Struthio camelus: one gene and its partners. The protein of the gene in region 2 interacts with the protein of the main gene of each other region in a pairwise test. Links are inferred from orthologs where the notes say so. Each region holds a gene or a part of one and is shown on either strand. Other genes may lie near its edges. The genes, in order: POLB, TPP2 and PPP1R16A.

Region 1 (3,744 bases), on a different chromosome or scaffold from region 2:
CAAAATCCATGTTGTTTTCTGTGAAGTCTGTAAGCATCTTACTCTGGAAGGTATAATGCGTTCACTCTGTGCAATAACTTTATTTTTTTAAAGCGCTTTCATCAAAAACTAGATGTAATTGCTATCACAGTACCACTCTGAGACAGGCAGCTGGACAGAAGAAGTGATACTGCAGTGTGAACTGAGGACCCAAAGACAGCATATGACATACACTCACCCTCTAAAGTCTTAATTCCTTCCTCTACAAACTTCCTAGCAGCAGCAGGACTGCAAAGAGACCAATTTGCAATCAGAAACAGTAAGAATCTCGTAACACTGAATAGAACATTAGAATTCATTATAATCCTCTAGCTTCTTCAAGACCAAGACGAAAGTCACTTCTGATGCTTGCCGTACACTTGGCACACATATCTGTAGTCTGTACTTTCAGTTAGCAGAGATGGGTATCCAAGGCTTGGGCTGCACATTTTTAGTATTGATACAACTATATAGTGCTATACAATTGTTTAAAGAAAAAAGAAAGAAAAAAACACCCTCACCAAATAAGGAATATTGCTTTAGCCAACAACACTGGGATCTAATCGCATGCATGATAAGGACTACTTTAAACATAATCAGTCTTTGAGCCAAATTGTAGCCACAGCAACAGGATTGTATTTGAACCAGCACTTAAGAAATGAGGCTCCGGCCTGCAGCCTACAGTACAGCAAAGCAGTCCAAACTCCAGTTTGGCTGGAGAGTTTGTCATTAGCACCATACTTAAGTGAACGGTTGCCCTTTCTTCCCCAAAAGCAGGTGCAAAGAGCGAGCAAGCGGGAGAAAGGGGGGCAAAGAGAAAGCTTTACCCGATGCCAGTAACTCGGGTCAGAAAGTTGATAGATGCACTTGTATCATCTTGACGAATCTGGAAAAATGAAAGAACACAGACCAAACCCTTCTGCACTCCACTTGCAATAAAGACAAAAAACTTGAGAAGATAATACTGCCCATTCAGATTCTGTTTTGGAGGCTTACTATAAATCAAAGCAAAGCAGAACGAAGAGTAATATTGTGCACCATGGCAACGCCATAGATACCAAGCCTGAAAACCCTCTGCCCTAACTACCTATGCTAAGGTAAACAGCACATTTAAAACTCAAAACTCCTCTGAGAAATGGAAGTCTGGATCCGGAAGACTGTGAAGACGTTCATATGCTGATGATATTATCCAAAATTTTTTCAGGAACAGGTAGTTTTGAGGCTTCAGCTGAGCTTCTTGTTCCCCAATTTCTACTCCCCATAAATTCCCTATCCACCATTCTCAGGTTTGACATCAGTTTCGCCAAAGATAATCCCCAAAGTTTCACAAAGTAAATAGGCTACTTTGCAAAGTGCAAAGAAAAGCAACTATTGTGAAGTATAGTGCACAGGAAAGAAGCCCACCTTTTCCAATTTGCGTAGTTTTCCAGTGGATAAAAACTCATCTATCTTCTCAGCTATTTTAGCACCTACTCCATCCTAAATATTGGAAGAAGAAGGGGTGGGGAGAACAAGAAGTTAACTTCCAAATCATTTATAGCCACTATAGCTAAGAAAAAAAAAAACACCCAACAATAGAAGTTACAACACAGAATTTAGAGTCCAGTAAGAATTAGGAGGTCATTGAGATCATGAAGTAGTGCAGTACTCCATGGTAAAACGCAAGCTGCATCAACCATCATAAATGAAGGGCTGTATTAAAAGTCTCCTGAAAGCAATTGTTTGAAACCAGGCTTTGACTCTTACAACTAAAGGCCCAAAGGTTAGCAGGGCAGTAACAGAATAAAGGGGAATTTTTCCCCAACGGCAGCCTTTTACAAGTAGGGCTGCAGCCAGATGGACCGGGTGCCTGCAGTTCCGGCCATGAAACCTCTACAGCACTCCCCACTGCAGCCAACCCCACGCCCACCTCTGAGCCCTGACCCAGACATCACTGGAAAGGGGAAGGGCAGCAGAGCTGTCACAGGCAGGGTTGATCCCGTGCTGCTCCTGCCCCTTCCAGGAGCCCCTGGCATCATAGCCCCTGCCAACCTGAGGCCCTACCACCATGGTACAGGCACCTACCAGCTTCTTGGCCTCAGCCCCACTCTGGATCTTGCTGGGATACCGGGAAATCACAGAGGCTGCTTTTCTGCAAAACAGCACCAGTCAGCGACTGAACCAGGCAGCAGCACTGCCACCTCCGTCGGGGGGAGCAGTGCCCCCCTCCGACGCGACAGGGGGGCGCAGGTGAGTGGGCCGGATCCCGGGAACAGGCAGTGAGGTGGGGGGGGGGGGAGCGGGCCCCGGCGCGGGGAAGGCCCCGGCGCGGGGGCGGGCCGCGATACCTGTATGCGTTGTACTTGTGAATAGCACGGTTCACGTTCCGCTCGTAGTTCGCCAGCTCTACAGGGGAAGACACCGTTAGAGCAAGCCAACCCCGCCGTAGTCCCGTACGCCCCGGTCATCACCCACCGGTGAGAAAGTCCGTGATGCCCTCGTTGGGGCTCTCCTGCGGGGCCTTCCGCTTGCTCATCCCGGACGCTCGCGGACCCGGCCGCGGGAGACCAGAGCGGCCGGCGGGGGGAGAACCGGATACCGCAACGCGGCGCTTCCGGCAGTGACCTCAGCAAAGCACGGCCGCCTTCAATGCGCATGCGTACTCCTGCCCCAGGGCGGAGCGTCGCCAGTGACGTCAGAAACCGTGGCCCCTGCTGCTCGCCGCCCGCCTCGGCGCGGCACCAGCCAGAGACGCGTGCGCACTGCAGCCCGCCGTGACCGCCCGAGCTCCACGGTTGCTCGTACTGCTGCGGCAACCGGCCGCGCTCCCGCCCCTTCTCGGTGCTCCCCGGCCGACGGCACAGCGGGTTTCTGCCCGTTGGTGCCGCCTCGTGTCTCGACAGCGGTCTGTGCAGCCTCCGTGCGTTCGGGACTATGTGTGAGTACCGGGAAGCAGCAACACGGTCACGGCAACTACTCGTGCGGGGAAATCCGCTGCTCGCCTCTCTTGATTACAAGGGGGAAAAACTGGGTGAGCGGCTCACGCATGCGCACTGCAGCACCGCTGTCCCTGCTACCTGCGCTTCGTCACAACGCGGGGCTGTAGCCAGGCGGCGTACGCATGCGCAGTGAGCTCTCGCCGTGGTCGGTGCCGCTCTCCTAGCAACCGGTTAAAGCCGCTATCAATACCGCGCATGCGCAATCGGGCGCAGTGCGCCGGGCTGCAGCCAGCCGGCTCGCTGGAGGGCGCTCTTCGAGGTAGCGGCCCCGCTGCCGCTCACCCCGCCGCTGGCGCGCTCTGAGGCGGCGCATGCGCGGTGCCCAGGAGCAGCATGGCGGCGAGCAGAGCCGCGCTTACCCTCGGAAGCGGCGGGGGCGGGCCGCCGGTCCCGGTGAAGCGAGCGCGTCCCTTCGGGTGGCCGCGGGCCCTGGGATGTTTCCTGCCCGCCAGGACCGTCGCTGCGTGGAGGCGGAGAGCAGAGGGGCTCCACAGCAGGAGCGCGGGTTTGACTTTCTTTTTCCCGTGCCTCGCCTTTCGGGCCCCGGTTCCTCCCCAGCGCGGGCCGAGGCGTGCGCTCGCCCCCGCGGATACAGCCTGGGGGTGCGGGGAGGCTGGCAGAGCCCGGTGCGGGAACGTGGCAGAGAGGTGGGGGCGTCCCTGGAGTGGCTACGAGTGCCGGGATTTCTCCTGCCCACCTGAAGGCATGGGTGGAGGGGAGGAAAGGGTGGGGGGTTTCAGGGGCCTGG
Region 2 (3,744 bases):
ATAAAAGTCACTCTGTTGCTGCCAAAAAAGACAAGACAATGGTCAAGCCTACATTGGAGTTCAACAAATACAGACAAATACCTCCAAGGTTTTGAATTTTCATTGTTTAGAAAAATCCAAATTTAAATAGCTGTAAGAAAAGATACTGCAACAAGTATAAACAGGAGACAAATTTCTGTTTTCCAGAAGGTAACAAATACTGCTTTGAGGAAACCTGCTATGGAACAGTTTTCACTGCAGAAATCAACACGGTTAACTCTGCTCACAGAAATTCACGTTCATTTAGAAGAACAGCAGCTATGTAGTAGTGAAAATTTACTTGGGAAACTCCATGCACAGGCATTTATACCATAGAATTTTCTATCATCTGTAATTAATCCCTTCAGATGCCAGTCTTCACTCACAGAGAAGTTAACAGGTAACCTTGAACAGAAGTTACGCCAAAAAGAGGATTCCACCAATAATAAATTATATGCATGCTAAACCTGAGATTATCAGAATTGGGCATTTTTCAATATACCTCTAAAAAAAAAAAGTAATAAATTGCTCAGCGATCAAAGTGCAAGAAAATAAAAATGGAATTGCAACCCAAGGCAACCTCTTTGACACTGGTGAGTCATACTGCAACAGGTGGCCAGAACATAGATTTATGCTGTAGTGAATTTCAGTAGCTTTAAAAGTTCCTTCCTAGCCAGAAATTTTATGTGAAACTCCTACACCGTACAGATCGTCACCCTCTATATGAATAGCAGGTCCACATGCGTACATGTCTGTGCAATCAGAATCAACAAATCAGTCTTTCAGGTCAGACACAAGAAACTTGAGTTTCAAGTGCAAAGGTCTAAGGTTCAATTCCTAATGGCAGCGATCCAGTCCGATTCACAGTCATTTAGCGTAAAGTAACTGATAGAGCTTTCAGTGCTGACATGAATTGTTTGGCACACTGCCCACCAGTAGTAATGGTACAATGAAACTTACGGTTCAACTGTTTTTTTGTCTTCCCCTCTCCCTTGAAGTCCTTTATCTTGGGGGCGGGGGGGAAGGGAGGGCAGAATTAAGTGATATTAATTTTCTTTGTATGATTTGATTTTTTTCTAAGTAATGAATTTATTATAGATGTAAAGAATGTTTTCACCCCAAAATTTTAAAAAAAGAAATTACTATATAATTAAAATATTTTATAGCATGTCTTAGTCTCAACCGTGCAAACTCATGCTTTCTTTGTTCCTCACATACGCAACCCCTAGAGATTCAGATTTTTTGCTTTCACATGTGAAACACTTACCTGAACCCCACAAGGAGTCAGTTCAGAAAGCTGAACTTAAAGATCAAAGTTAGGCCTCTGAGCTAGGTCACTGAAGAGTAAAATCTGCACCAGTGCCAAATAAAGAGCAGAAACCACCACAATCCCTGCTTATATAAAGGATGCAGTTCCCATGGGAGCTGCATACAACCCTCTCCGAATCCTGACAGAAAACATGCTGAAGAGAAGTTGGAAGTAGGAGCAACAAAAAAGGCCATATATACACTGCATAATTAAGAAGATGTTAAAAAGCAAATACTGAAAGAATCAAGGAAAAACTGTGAAACGTCCAAATTAAAAATCACCTACACAGAATTTTACAAAACCTGAGATCAAGATTGTAATGACAAATGGGGTGTACTCTGAGCTATAGACAAAGCTAGCAGATGTAAAAAAAGGTCAGCATATACAAATCTGATAAAAAATTTGATTGCAATACAAGAAAAATACATTGACAACAAAGGTATGCAAAATTTGCTAAAACACATTTTTCATACAAAACATTTAAGTGGCTGTTTGAACTCCCTTGCTACTACTGAAATAACGCTAACGTTTAAGAAAAATACGAAGCACTCTTTTCGAGTAGGTTCTGCGAAAAAGGAGACAGCCAAAGGGATTAAGTGCCCTAAGGCATCTGTGGAAGGCTCAAAAGAAGAAACCTCCTACAAATAACCGAAGGGAAACACACAGATCTACAGGATTTTCTCCGCTCTCCCACAGCCGACCTCCGCGGAGCTCACACTAATGCAGCACGGGCATGAATGCTTAGCGGGAATCCTAAGGAAAACAACAACAACAACAACCGCAAGCCTCTCACGGCCGCCGTGGGGGCGCCAGACGCCTCGTCCCGGCACGACCCCTCCGCGGGGACCTCCTTCCTCCCGCCCCCCCTCCCCCGGCGGCTTCCAGGGCTCCGGCAGCCGCCGGGCCGGCCGCTCCGTGCTCCCCGCTCGCAGCCAACGGCCGCCCGCCACCCTGTCCCGGCGCGGCGCCGCCGCTGCCTGTCGGCGGTGACTCAGGGCCGCCGCCCTGAAGCGGCTCCTCCCGCCGCACGCGACCGCCCGTTACCTGCATGCCCGGGGCGCCGGGGTCCACGCCGGTGTCCAGCACCGCCAACAGCACCCCCCGCCCGTCGAAGTCGGGGTAGCGGGCGAGGAAAGCGGCGGCGCCGGTCTCCTTCTTGGGCAGGAGGCCGTGGAAAGGGAACGGCTCCTCCACGGCGGCCGCCATGATGGGAAAGGGAAACGGGGGCCGCGCGCCGCCAGGCAGCGCGAGAGCACAGCGCAGCCGGCGGGCGGGGGCAGTGGGCGCGGGGAGGCCAGGGCGCATGCGCGCGCCCCCTCCCCAGGGGCGCACCCTGGCGCGACCCGGAACGCGAGCGCACCGGGCCTAAACCAGCCAATAAGGCCACGCAACGTCCTGGCGCCCGCCCGCGGCGCTGCAGCCAATCAGAAAAGGGAAATTCTCCACGCGCTGGAACTTCTGGGGAGGGGGGGAGAAGAGCGGGGGAGGCGGGAGAGGAACGGGGGGGCCGCGCCCTTAAAGTGACCAGCGCCCTCCCTGCCTTCCTGAGACGCGGGGGTGGGGTGGGGAGGGGAGGGGAGCGGAGCGGAGCGGAGCGGAGCGCAAAGGCGGGTGGCGGATGGCTGGCAGAGCTGCGGGGACACCGGCCGTGGCCGGGGTGGGGGGTTACGGCCATCTTCCCGTGTGAGCAGGCCGGGCTCCAGCTCTGATTGGGCCGCCCTCAATCCCCTGCTCCCGAAGCGGGCGGGCCTCGCCTAAGCAGGGAAAACGGCTCCGCCGCGGGCGGGCGCCGTTTTCCGTCCCAGCCTCGGGCCGGCGGCGGCGGGCGGGCGGCGTGGGGGGAATCCCTCAGGCAGCGCTGAGAGGAAACTCCAGTAGTGGCGCACGAAGGGTACCCGTCACCCGCTGAACAAAAACAACATGAAAACTTATAAATATTCAAACGTTGCCTCTTCTGCTGATTGATTTGTACGCGAAAAACACGTTATGCGGTTGAGCTGCCCCCCCCCGGGGCACTGTTACCTCCGTTACTGTGGGAGGGATAAACGGTATTTACAGCGTGCTGCGATTTAATGCCTGTGCAACTACTTAGTTCTAAGGGAAACAAGACTAGCTGCAGGCTATTGACAGCTCCAAATGAAATGTTTGGCGAGATAAGTCATAAATCTTAGCTTTAGGAGAGGTTTTAAAGTCGGTGTCCCGCTTTCCTGATTGCAGAAAAGCTTGCCAGCAAAAACTGAATGAACTGTAGAATCTCAGAAACCAAATACAGCACTTAAAAAAAGCAATCTTGTTCATAGGGCCTGACTCCCGGCTTTAGCCATATAAATTGGCAGTAAAGGTGCCATCCATTCTTGTTATTTCAGTATCAATGCGCTTTCCTCAGGCAAGTTTCTGTTCAGAGAGCTTTATTGCGC
Region 3 (3,744 bases), on a different chromosome or scaffold from region 2:
GCCGGCCGCGGCGCGCCCTCCCCGAGGAGGGGCCCCGCAGCCAGCGGGACGCCAGGAGCTGGGCAGCCTTCGCTCCCGCCGGCGTCCAGCGCGGCAGCAGTTAACGGCAGGACACGAAACCGCCAGCTTCAAGGTTCAAACTAATCTCTGGCTGCAGAGATTAGGACGAGACCTTCAAAGGGTGCAGATTATCCCACATTTGCTTACTTAGAGCTTTTCGGACGCTTCCTGGGAGGCAGCCGCAGCAGCTCCACGATACCGGCTACGGGGAGCCCCAGCCGAAATCCGAGTTAAATCTACGGTACTACTATGGGTTAACCACCAAGTTTTAACACGGCCCTTTCAGCGCTGGTTCGTATCAGTGCTGCCCATTACCTATGTCGTATCACAGGGCTTAACATACGCTCTTTTCAGACGCTTCTGATTTTTAATCGTTTAAACAGGGAATGATATTTTTTATTCACATCAAGCTACGTTTAGCTGGAAGTTAAAACGCACAAAAAGAACCCAAGAGAATGAATTATGCAAAACAGAACTGCCAAAACGAACTAGGCATACAAGAAAAGTAAATCATCAAAAAATTTGACATTTGAAACTAGCTAAAGCACAAAGAGTTTGACATTTGAAACTAGCCGAAGCACAAAGGGACAGGCCTGAAGAAGTTAAAGATTCCCCGCCATTTCCTATTCTGGAGACAACCGAAGGAGCAGCATCCTCACGCTCATTAAAATGGGTGGATGGCTCACATGCACAGAGCAGCTTCCTCGCTAAACGGCGTTAATGGACACCAGCAAACGCAGGCGGTAACGCCGGACATTACACTTTCAAATTTCTTTCCGACCGTGTACGCTTTTAAGAAAAAAAGCGCTCATCTTTTATTTATTGCTCTTCACATAACCAGCATCGATTCCCCAGGGGTAGAAACGGAGCAACGCGCTGACCCGGACCGATGAGCTCGGTGTTTCGCCGCAGCGGCCGCCCCGAGCGTCCCGCGGGAGCAGCGCTGCCCGCGCGAGGACGGAGGGCCCCCAGCCGAGGCCAGCCAGGGCTCAAGCGACCTAAGGCAACTACCTTAAAAGCGAGGCTCGGCGGGGAAAGGCGGGTGGCGTGGGATGGGCAGGGGAAGCCGGTCTCAGGCGTCCTCGTCCTCACCTAGGGCAGGCGAGGCCCCTGCGCTGGCAGCTCACGCCCAGGGAGGCTCTAGGAAAACAGGTTCTTACAGGTTTTTTAAATACCTGCCGAGGCATCCAGCCCGCCCGCGCGCCTCCTGCGCGGCCGGCTGGCGGGGGCAAGGCCGCGCCGGCCAGTGGCTTCACGCAGCGGCTCTCCGTCCCACCCGGACACCAGCCCGAAGCGGCACCTAACGCCCGGCTCCAGGAGGCGGGTCGGGGAAGACCACCTTCCCCGCTGTTTCCAAGTGTTTTCTCGCCCAGCTCAAGTCCCTCCGAGCTCCTCTCCCGGAGGAATACCCAACCCACGAGTGCTCCGAGCGGCTCCACGGAGATTTAGGCAGCCCCCAACTGCTCTGACACCCCCAAAGGCCCCCTAAGGAACCACTGGCCGCCCCACAGCCAGCGGCCAGGAGAGCCCCCAGGCTCCCCCGGCACACAGCACAGCCCGCCCGGCCCCGAAGGCTTCCCCCTGCCCCACGGAGGGACTCAGCCCCCCGCCACGGGCTTGGGGGCTCATCCACATCACCCTCCCGGTGATCCTGCCCCACTCGCCACGCACCCCCATGGGGGATTCAGCCCTCCCTGGGAGCCCCCAGGCCATCGCACCAGGGATGTCCCAAAATACACCCCGAGGGAGGGAGGGGGGCCCTCCACAGCTCATGTGGGCTGCCCCATGGGGGGGGACCCCCCACATCCCGAGGAGGAGGATCCCCACATCCCGGGGGGGGGGGACCACCGAAGGCCCTATGAGGGGAATCCCCCTGCATCCTGGGGGGGTCAACCCCGACATCCCAGGGGGGCCACCAAATGCCCCATGGGGAGATCCCGCCCATATCCGCCCCATATCCCGCAGGAGCCAAGCCCCATATGCCGGGGGGGGGGCACCAAATGCCCCCTGGGGGGGGATCCCCCCCCAGAGCCCAGCAGAAAGGCCCCCCCAAACACCTCAGCACCCTCCCCCCACATCCCTTGTCCCCAAATGCAGCACAGGGGGCAGGGAATGTCCCCCACAGCCGGGGGAGGGGGGAGACCCCCACACCCTGTGAGGGCCCAAACGCCCCACAGATGAGGGGATCCCCCCCACTACCCGGGGGAAAGCCCCCCCCACACCCCCTGGGGAGGGAGCATCCCACAGCCGGGGGAGGGGGGGACCCCCACACCCTGTGAGGGCCCAAACGCCCCACGGATGGGGGGGGGAAGGGAGCCCCCCCCCAAGCCCAGGGCCGCCCCTAGACGCCCCACGGAGGCGGCCCCGGTCCCCCCTCCCCGTCCCTGGCCCAGCCCGGGGGCTGCCCCCCCCCCCGCCGCGGCCCTACCTGCCGCCGCCGCCGCCGCCGCCGCCCTGCCCGGTGTCGTTCCCTGCTCGGGGCGGGGCCCGCGCGCGCCGCCGCCGCTCGCCATGGCAACCGGCCACACTTCCGGTCCAGGCCGGAAGGGGCGGGGCTCCGGCGGGAAGGGAGGGGGCGCCCCCCCCCCCCCGCTGAGCCGCCATGCGGAGCGTGGCTGGGCGCCACCCCGCCAGGCGGAGCGAGCTGCCACACTCAACATGGCGACGGGAAGGGAACGAGAGGGGAGCCCGGGGCATGCTGGGAGCGAGCGAGGGAGAGGCCGCCGCGGAGCGAGCGCCCCCTGCTGGCCGGCGGGGGGGGGCACGACCCTCTGCCCTGGGGTCACGGGGTCACCGCCGCCTGCCCTGGGGTCACAGCCCAAACTAGGGGTCATGGGGTCACAGCCCCCTGCCCTGGGGTCATGGGTGTCATGACCCACTGCCCTGGGGTCATGGGGTCACGGCCCCCTGCCATGGGGTCACAGGGGTCATGGCCCCCCCGGGGTCATGGGGTCACTGCCCACTGCCCTCAGGTCATGGGGGTCATAGCCCCCCTGGGGTCATGGGGTCACGGCCCCCTGCCCTGGGGTCACATCCCCACCTTGAGGTCATGAGGTCACTGCCCACTGTCCTGGGGTCACAGGGGTCATGGCCCCACCCTGGGGTCATGGGGTCACGGCCCCCTGCCCTGGGGTCACCAGGGCTCATGGGGGCCCAGGGATCATGGCCCCACCCTGGGGTCAAAGGGTCCCAGGGTCATGGGGGCCCCTGCCCTGGGGTCATGGGGGGATCACAGCCTCTGGCCCTGGGGTCACAGGGTCATGTGGGGTCACTGCCCCACCCTGGGGTCATGAGGTCCCAGGAGGTCACGACCCCCCACCCTGGGGTCAGGGGTCACAGTCCCCTTCGCTCTGGGGTCGGTGGAGGTCGGCACCCCTTGCAGAGCTCTGGGGTCCCGGGGGGACCCAGGGGGTCACAGCGGGTGCTCCCAGTGGGTCCCAGCCCCCAGCGTGGGTCCCAGTGCTCCCAGTGAGTCCCAGCCTTGGCTGCGGGTCCCAGTGGCTCCCAGTGGGTCCCAGTCATGGCCGTGGGTCCCAGTGCTCCCAGTGGCTCCCAGTCCCTGCCATGGGTCCCACTGGGTGCCTGTGGGTGCAGCCCCCGCACAGCATGCCGGTGAGGGCCCCCCGTGCAGGGCTCGATCCCACCCTGCCACAGCCGGGCCGCCCCGTCCAGCTCCAGCCCCTT

Evidence for each region.
Region 1: the proteins of TPP2 (region 2) and POLB interact in binary tests that used the Homo sapiens proteins (3 or more experiments, as listed by UniProt). The two-hybrid records come from large-scale screens. The link is inferred for Struthio camelus from reciprocal best matches to the Homo sapiens genes TPP2 and POLB.
Region 3: the proteins of TPP2 (region 2) and PPP1R16A interact in binary tests that used the Homo sapiens proteins (3 or more experiments, as listed by UniProt). The two-hybrid records come from large-scale screens. The link is inferred for Struthio camelus from reciprocal best matches to the Homo sapiens genes TPP2 and PPP1R16A.

What each region holds. Positions count from the first base shown.
Region 1 is NC_090968.1:7,954,720-7,958,463, forward strand, and holds the start of POLB (DNA polymerase beta), read right to left. Parts: upstream 2,663-3,744; 5' UTR 2,534-2,662; coding exon 2,473-2,533; intron 2,404-2,472; coding exon 2,346-2,403; intron 2,150-2,345; coding exon 2,083-2,149; intron 1,498-2,082; coding exon 1,423-1,497; intron 905-1,422; coding exon 846-904; intron 268-845; coding exon 218-267; intron 1-217.
Region 2 is NC_090942.1:162,708,161-162,711,904, forward strand, and holds the start of TPP2 (tripeptidyl-peptidase 2), read right to left. Parts: upstream 2,627-3,744; 5' UTR 2,534-2,626; coding exon 2,372-2,533; intron 1-2,371. UniProt on the Homo sapiens protein: Cytosolic tripeptidyl-peptidase that releases N-terminal tripeptides from polypeptides and is a component of the proteolytic cascade acting downstream of the 26S proteasome in the ubiquitin-proteasome pathway.
Region 3 is NC_090943.1:172,444,041-172,447,784, forward strand, and holds the start of PPP1R16A (protein phosphatase 1 regulatory subunit 16A), read right to left. Parts: upstream 2,513-3,744; 5' UTR 2,489-2,512; intron 1-2,488. UniProt on the Homo sapiens protein: Inhibits protein phosphatase 1 activity toward phosphorylase, myosin light chain and myosin substrates.